Linked DNA regions of Oryzias latipes. The protein of the gene in region 2 purifies or fractionates together with the protein of the main gene of each other region. This does not show direct contact. Links are inferred from orthologs where the notes say so. Each region holds a gene or a part of one and is shown on either strand. Other genes may lie near its edges.

Region 1 (3,363 bases), on a different chromosome or scaffold from region 2:
TATATGTGTTTTTCTGACAAAATTGTATCCTGTTGTTCTGTTAGATCTCATAATAAAACCCCTACATGTTTCTTTTTGTTAATTTTTACAATCATTTTTGGAATTACATGCTTTCAAATTGATTTTTTTTTTTTTTTAATTTTAGTAAGAACACATCTTTTTGTGAGTGTTAGAGATGCTATTGGGTAAGACATCCGTCCATGGGGCCCTAATACGTTTCCCTAACAAAGTTAATTCAAGCAACACCCCTGAAAACGAGTACAAAATTCAAAATGTTTCTCTAGTGTTCAGTTTCAGGAAATGTTTATCTTTAAATGCTAAAAGTGTATTTTGCTCTCATGCATGGTTACCCTGCTCCGTAGGTAGTCTGCCAAGTTCTTCCGTGTGAAGTTTGCTGCTGCAGATGGACTCAGTTCGTAACCTTTAGGGGAGAAAAAGTTTCATCAATGACTTGTTCTGATCCCCTGATGAACCACAGACAGCTGCTCTGTGTAGTTTCCATCCTACCGTTCCTCATTTTGTAGAGCTGGACATTCTTCTGGATGTACTCAGCAAACTGCACCGTGTCTCCTGCTTCTCCCACGCACAACAGCAGGATCTTCTCGCTCAGTTTGAACATTTTATCATAATCTGGTGGATCAAAAAAAAAAACACCTTAGAACTTTCACTTTCACAGTTAGCCTGCATGAGGCTGCATAATCTGCTAATTTTAGAACAAAACCAATTATACAGAAAAACACCAAAAACTCAAATCGGGAGCAAAACTGCACCGATTTTTAAGCAAATATCCGCAAAAATAATTTAAATCGAACGCAGATTAGTTTCATTGGTTCGATTATTTGATATAGTGTGGCCAAGTATAAGAAACCAACAACAAATTAACTGTAAATTCGGAAATAAAAGCTTGATTTAACCAGATAAAATCTCAAAACGCTTTGAACTTTACCCCCCTAAATCTAAAATAAAAATCGGCGGAGCGGCTAATGCTACAGCTAACGACGAGCTACTTTACCGTGTTTCATTTGGATTATGCTGCTGGCGGCCACATTATCGGCGGCGACGAGAACAAAATCTGGTCCCTGGATTCCGATTAAATATTCCATCGTGAAAAACGCGAATAAACAAAAAAATGTAAGAATAATTCGAGGAAGCAGCCGCGGACAGCCGGGTCTGCTCAGAATATTACACAGCAAAAGTTCAGCTAGCTGCCTGTCGCATACTGGTGACGTCAAACCGCGCGACTTGGGCGGGCGATTTGAAACGCGGGAGTGTTTTTGTTGTGTGTCACCGAGCGGAGGGCGTCCGTCATCGGGGGAATTTTGAGGTTACAGCCAAGCTGTGTTGACCATGAAGGAAGGGGAGACTCACAGCGTGATGGTGGAGTCCAACCGACACATAGACCCGCCGCGGAGGCGTTCGCCGCGGCTAAGTTCTACCCTGCAACCGCCGGGGAAGATTGACACAAACATGGCCGCGCTGGAGGCCGTCCCGGTGAAACGGTCCATCACTCTAAGGAAAATAGCTCCGAGAAAAACCGTTACCTCCGCGGAGCAGGACAAGGAGAACACACCACGGCGAACGAGCAACAGACTAGGGCAGAAAAAAGAGGTGTCCACTCCTGACTTGGTCCCAGACCGCAGGGCCTCCGCCATCTCTTCGGCTAAGAAGAAGAAACAGGCCTCGATGCCGTCCCCGATCTTGCCTTCCTCCCCGCCGACCTCAAACCCCGCAGAAAAGCCGCCAGCGACCCCGGAGGACGCAGAATGGGCGCGAAAGGTGCGCCGCTCCTACAGCAGACTGAGCGACAAGTCCCTCCACAGCCCGGACTCTCGCGATACTTTGTTCGGCTTCCAGCATCTGCAGACACCGGAGGTGAACCGGGCGGCAGGGCAGTCCAGGAGCGCTCTGGAGCTTTCCTCCATTTCTGCCCTGAACTCTTTCACGTCTCTGCTCGATACCGACGCCGGCGGTGCGGCCGAACCGGACCCGAACATCCCTGGAGTGGCTGTGGTGAAGGAGAGGAAGAGGAGGCGGAAGAAGGTGGCGCCGATCGACGGCGTGGAGCTGGACGTTCTGGTCGCCCAGATGAACGCGGAGTTCCAGGAGGCGGAGGAGTTTGAGCTGGTGGTGGAGTAGAAACTGGCTCTACTCAAGCCCAGGGGAAGCTTCTCAAGGACTGTGATAAAAATAATTCAAGAAAATGTTAAAAATGTCCAGATATTTTTATTCCTTCACTTGGTGTGAAATAGTTTTTAAATACATTTTCAGTATCACATTTGCTAGTCGTTTGTAACTTCAGTTTTTTTGGTTTATTTAAACCGGACTTTATCCTTTGGCAGAATTTAAGTGCTAAAACCGTTTACTGAGGAGCATTTCCCCAAGAATTACGTTTGGAGCTAAAAGGCTTTTATTCTGAAATGAAGCTTGAAAGCTTTTATGCAAAAGTCTGGAGATAAAAAGCTTTGAGTCGTAAAATTGGTGCTGAACAGCTCTTACTTTGAAGTTTGAAGATAAAAAGCTTTTATTCTGACGATTGGACTTTAGAAACATTTATCCTAAAGGTTTTGACTGGAGACGCTTTTATTCTGCAGTTTGGATTCTCTTTTTTTTTTAACTTTCCCAAATGTTTTTAGAGAAAAATAAAGTACATGGCATCTGTAACCAGCACTTTTTCCTCTTTAATTTTGTTTTTTCTTTCTAGTTTAAGAGAAATCCATTTAAGGTTGTTTATATCTTATATGTGTCTTTTAAATACATTTCTTCTGTTCTGTGTATTTGAATAAAAGCAAACATCTTTTTTTAAACATACACTTTATTTTGTTTACCCTTATTTGTACAGTTAAAGAGTTTTAAATTATATTAAACAACAATTTTTTAGAACTTTGCAGTGAAATATCAACTAGCTGCAGAAGGAGATGACACAGGAAATATGAACAAATAAACTATAACATAGCTAAAGAATTCAACTGAAAAGCCTTGAATGGCCTTTCATCAGATCCTGTCTCAAACTGTTTTTGTGAAGCTCTGAAATTGATCAGTACTGTAAATATCCTACTCTATGTTTAATTTAACCTTATGGCAATCAGAGCGAGCATGAAAACCCGTTTTCTAACTGTACATATGACAAAAAAAAAACTTTGAATCCTTTCAATTAAAAAAACTGAGGGTGAAAGGTCAAAAGCAACTGTAACCCTATAACCAATCAAAATCGTTTTTTTGCATAATATCCAACTAAATTATACAGTTTTGCTTATAGCAGCAAAAGTCTAGAATCAGGACTTTTATTTCAAGCGAAAAAATAAAACCAAATGCATCAAATGAATTTAGATGTACAGTCACAAAATGATCAGATGATAAAGAAAT
Region 2 (3,650 bases):
AAACCCAAATGAAACCCTCTCTGATCCCCTTGTTTTTTCCTTCAGGAGCTGTCCTGAAATGAGTCATGGTTCTGGCAGATATGGCCCAGGACACACTAATCCTTCTTGACCTGCTTAAGCCTTCTTCCTGCTGGCTTGGAGGCAGCGACATAACTCCAGTGGATGTAATCCCTGTTCAAAATAAAGCTTCCGCTGAGAGAAATCACCCCAGTGATGACGCTCTGCCTTCTATACTCATGAGCTTCCATGGAAGATACCGCCACACGCCACAAACGCAAACGCTGGGACAACTTTCCTTTTCTGCAAATTCCATTTCTCTAACCTGGAGCTAAAGACTTTATATTTTACTAATAGGACTTGTCATCCAAAACCTAAAACACAGAGCAAGTTTTTTGTTGTTGTTAAAAACAGCCTAAATTTTACAGCCAAATATGCAAATGTGACTGTTTGGTGGTCTGTATGCAACAATATAAAACCCAACTGCAGAGTACGACCTTCACAGCAGTTTTCCTCAGTGCATTAAGTGTGTACTTCTCTGTGTGTCGTTTGCCATCGCTCTTTTAGCTCCAACAGCCACATAAACAGACGCCCCCCTCCCCTCAAGAAATTACCAAATCACTAATTGCCCCACCCCAGGGACCAGAGCAGCAGAACTAGTGCTAGCTGCTAGCTCATGCTGAGAACAATGGAGATATTGATGGAGTGGAGACAAATGTTTGAAGCAAATGGTAAATGGCATATGCTTATAAAGCACTTTCTACCTTCTTTCGAAGGCCCAAAGCACTTTACAGTCACAGTCCCATTCACCCATGCACACACACATTCACACACTGAAGACGTGCCCCCGGCACACACATCTGCAGGGTGGAGTTTGCTGTCAAACACAATGAAAGAGGTGTCTGCAGCTTTGCTACACGTCCAACATGAGCAGCATCTCCAGCGTCACCATCCAGTTGTGCCGCAGCGTTAAAGCGGGAGAACCGAGCTGGAAACACGAGCCAAAGAACGGCGGTCTATCACGGAGGCCTCCTAGCAACACAGAGTGCAACTGTTTTCTTCATTATACCTTTGTTTGGTAAGTACTGAAGTACCAGGTACTTCTATACTGAAGTACAAGTATTGATGTTTACAGTAAGTACAAATGTTCGGTGTAATGCTTTTCTACATATAGTCAGTGCTAAGAGTTATGCACAATTCTACCTCTTGACAAGTAAAAATGTTCATTTGTAAAAAAGGGAACATTTTTGGTTCTTTTGTACAGAAATGATTTGCTGCTCAGGAAAAACGTTGCTAAATCTATAAGAATTATTAGTGAATGCACAGAGCCCATTAGAAGTTAAAGAAGAGGTTTGTGAGTTAGCAGGAACTTCATTTAAAATGACTACACAGATGTTTGCCGGTCTGCCTGAAACAAACACTGACTGTAACTCAGAGCAGTGGACGTCACACCAGTGCAGGTGAATGCTCGTTAGGTGTGAACGGGCTTCGGACTGCCCTTTCATAAAGGATATGTTCGATGTTCCTGCGCAGGTTTTCATTCAGCTTGGCTTCCAGCTCAGTCAGCTCCTCCTCAGCCTTCCTCATGTCTTTCTGGAGCTCTAGGCGAGACTTTCTCGTATCGTAGTAGCCTCCAGTCAGAGCGCCACGGTGGCTGACCTGATCACCTAGAGGCAAATCACATTTGTAAAGAAGCAGAAGCGCCATAAAACCATCTTCAGATCACTTTTTCACATGACTGCTCGCCTCACACCAGAGTTTATCTGCTTTTAAAGCTCTTCTGAATCAGAAAATACATGTATTTTTCTGTCTGGCCTAAAACATGGACGTCTCAGATCCCTTGTAGGTGAATCAAGATGGTTTTCACATACAAATTGAAAACCGAGGGACTGTGAAGCCCACCAAAGAGCAGAGGTTAAAAAAGACAAGAGTTATAAAGATCAGCGGTTGGAAGGAAGAAAAAGAATGAAGCAAAAGCACGACCGTGCAGAATCACGATTGGCAAAACGGTTGAAAAAACGGTCTCTATCTCAAGACAAAACTGAAGCCTTTAGCATCCATTAATGTGTGAGAAGAATAAAGTGCACGGAAAGCTCACCCTCCAGAGTGATACAGTCCATGGTGAAAGCTCGGGCTAGCTGGGTGGAAACTTCCATGCTGCGACAAATTAGGGTCTTTCCAAACACATGCTTGAAGGCCTTGTCAAAGTTGGGGCTGTAGCGCAGCTTGCTGATCATGGGGATGGCATCCTTTAGGAACAGAAATGTTCAGATTAAAACACATTTATACCTTAAGGTCTAAAGGTAAGCAATGAATCGACCAAGTCCTACACAACATTATTATAGCATCCAACTAGAGGTGCAACCATTCATTTCAACGACGACTCGGTTCATATCGTAGTAATTTGAGGTGATGATACATTTCACAGTCGATTTGGCTTCATGCTGTCATTCTTGGATTTCTTCCAGATCATCAAGTTAAATGAAATCTGTGTCCAAACCAACAAGTAAACTAGAATGAATGTCAAATCCATTCACATGTTAGTTTCCTAAAGTTCACCACTGTTGTTTTTCCACATCCAAAGAATCCAAAGGGAACATTCTTAGAACATTCTAGACACTGGATGGTCACATGACTTTATTCACAGTCTGTCTACACATTGGACTGGAATGATGGTCAGTTTTTGCTGACATCACACGTGTGCTGATGGCTGTGAGGCACATAGCTTTTAGTAAAAAAATCTACCGTCCCTCAATCCAGATGGTATTTTCCAGATTAGATTTGATTAACAACTTGCCTCATACAGATCGATCTGGTTGGATAAATCGATTCACTGATTGATCCTAACAACCCTAGTTCCAACACAGCAGTCAGTTATCCCCACTTCCAGGTAAAGTCCAAATGAAGCTTTGCTGAAGGGTTCTTACATTGGTTTCTGGGTAGGCCGTGTCCCTGACATCCAGCTTGCTCAGTGGAAGGAACGTGACTTCTCCAGGCAAGTTCATTTTGTTGAACTCCATCAGTATTTTGGTGCTGACTTCATCTGTTTCTACGATGTGGTAAAACAACCTGAAATGCATGAGATCTCTTTTTTATTTATAGTTGTCACTATATGTAAAGAGATATCTGAAACAACAACAAAAATAAAAATGACCGTCTATCTAATCCAGCTGTACAGTAGTAGATAAAAAGGTCATAACCCTTACAGTTTACCACATATAGTCTTCCCTCAGTATATCGCGCTTCACCTTTTTATTTTACAGCACCTGGTATGTTCTGCATCCTGATTGGCTGCTGACCTCGTCTGTGCCATATCTCCTGTACAGAATGGGTTCAGTTTGCCAAATCTACATAAACCCTCATCGCAATCAGATCTTTGTTTCCATTCTATAATACTGGGCTTATTTTCCTATGAAGGTTTGAACTTTGAGAGAAAAGCGGGAAAATGCTCAGGTCTGTCTGAGAAAAGTGTAGAAAGTGTGTAGTGAGGAGTTTTACAGCCTTAAACACCTAGAATCCATGGTGACATTAGTGTAACATCAGAAAGTCTTCTGTGGTCCACTTGGTCTACATCCAACAGAATTTTCCTTTAAGGGGAAATGGTTCTATATCCCCATCAGGGTTTATTTCTAGAATGTAACCCTCGCGATGAA

The links. The genes of interacting proteins can lie anywhere in the genome.
Region 1: the proteins of smc3 (region 2) and cdca5 purify together in Homo sapiens (affinity purification with mass spectrometry; 7 studies listed by BioGRID and IntAct, counting the BioPlex papers as one, with this or other methods). This does not show direct contact. The link is inferred for Oryzias latipes from reciprocal best matches to the Homo sapiens genes SMC3 and CDCA5.

Annotation. Positions count from the first base shown.
Region 1 is NC_019869.2:20,009,650-20,013,012, forward strand, and holds cdca5 (sororin), read left to right. Parts: upstream 1-1,228; 5' UTR 1,229-1,347; coding exon 1,348-2,136; 3' UTR 2,137-2,808; downstream 2,809-3,363. Other genes in the region: psmb2 (proteasome subunit beta type-2), read right to left, coding at 351-421, 508-630, 1,013-1,103. UniProt on the Homo sapiens protein: Regulator of sister chromatid cohesion in mitosis stabilizing cohesin complex association with chromatin. May antagonize the action of WAPL which stimulates cohesin dissociation from chromatin.
Region 2 is NC_019859.2:36,690,831-36,694,480, reverse strand, and holds part of smc3 (structural maintenance of chromosomes protein 3), read right to left. Parts: intron 3,067-3,650; coding exon 2,925-3,066; intron 2,247-2,924; coding exon 2,096-2,246; intron 1,665-2,095; coding exon 1,512-1,664; intron 1-1,511. UniProt on the Homo sapiens protein: Central component of cohesin, a complex required for chromosome cohesion during the cell cycle. The cohesin complex may form a large proteinaceous ring within which sister chromatids can be trapped.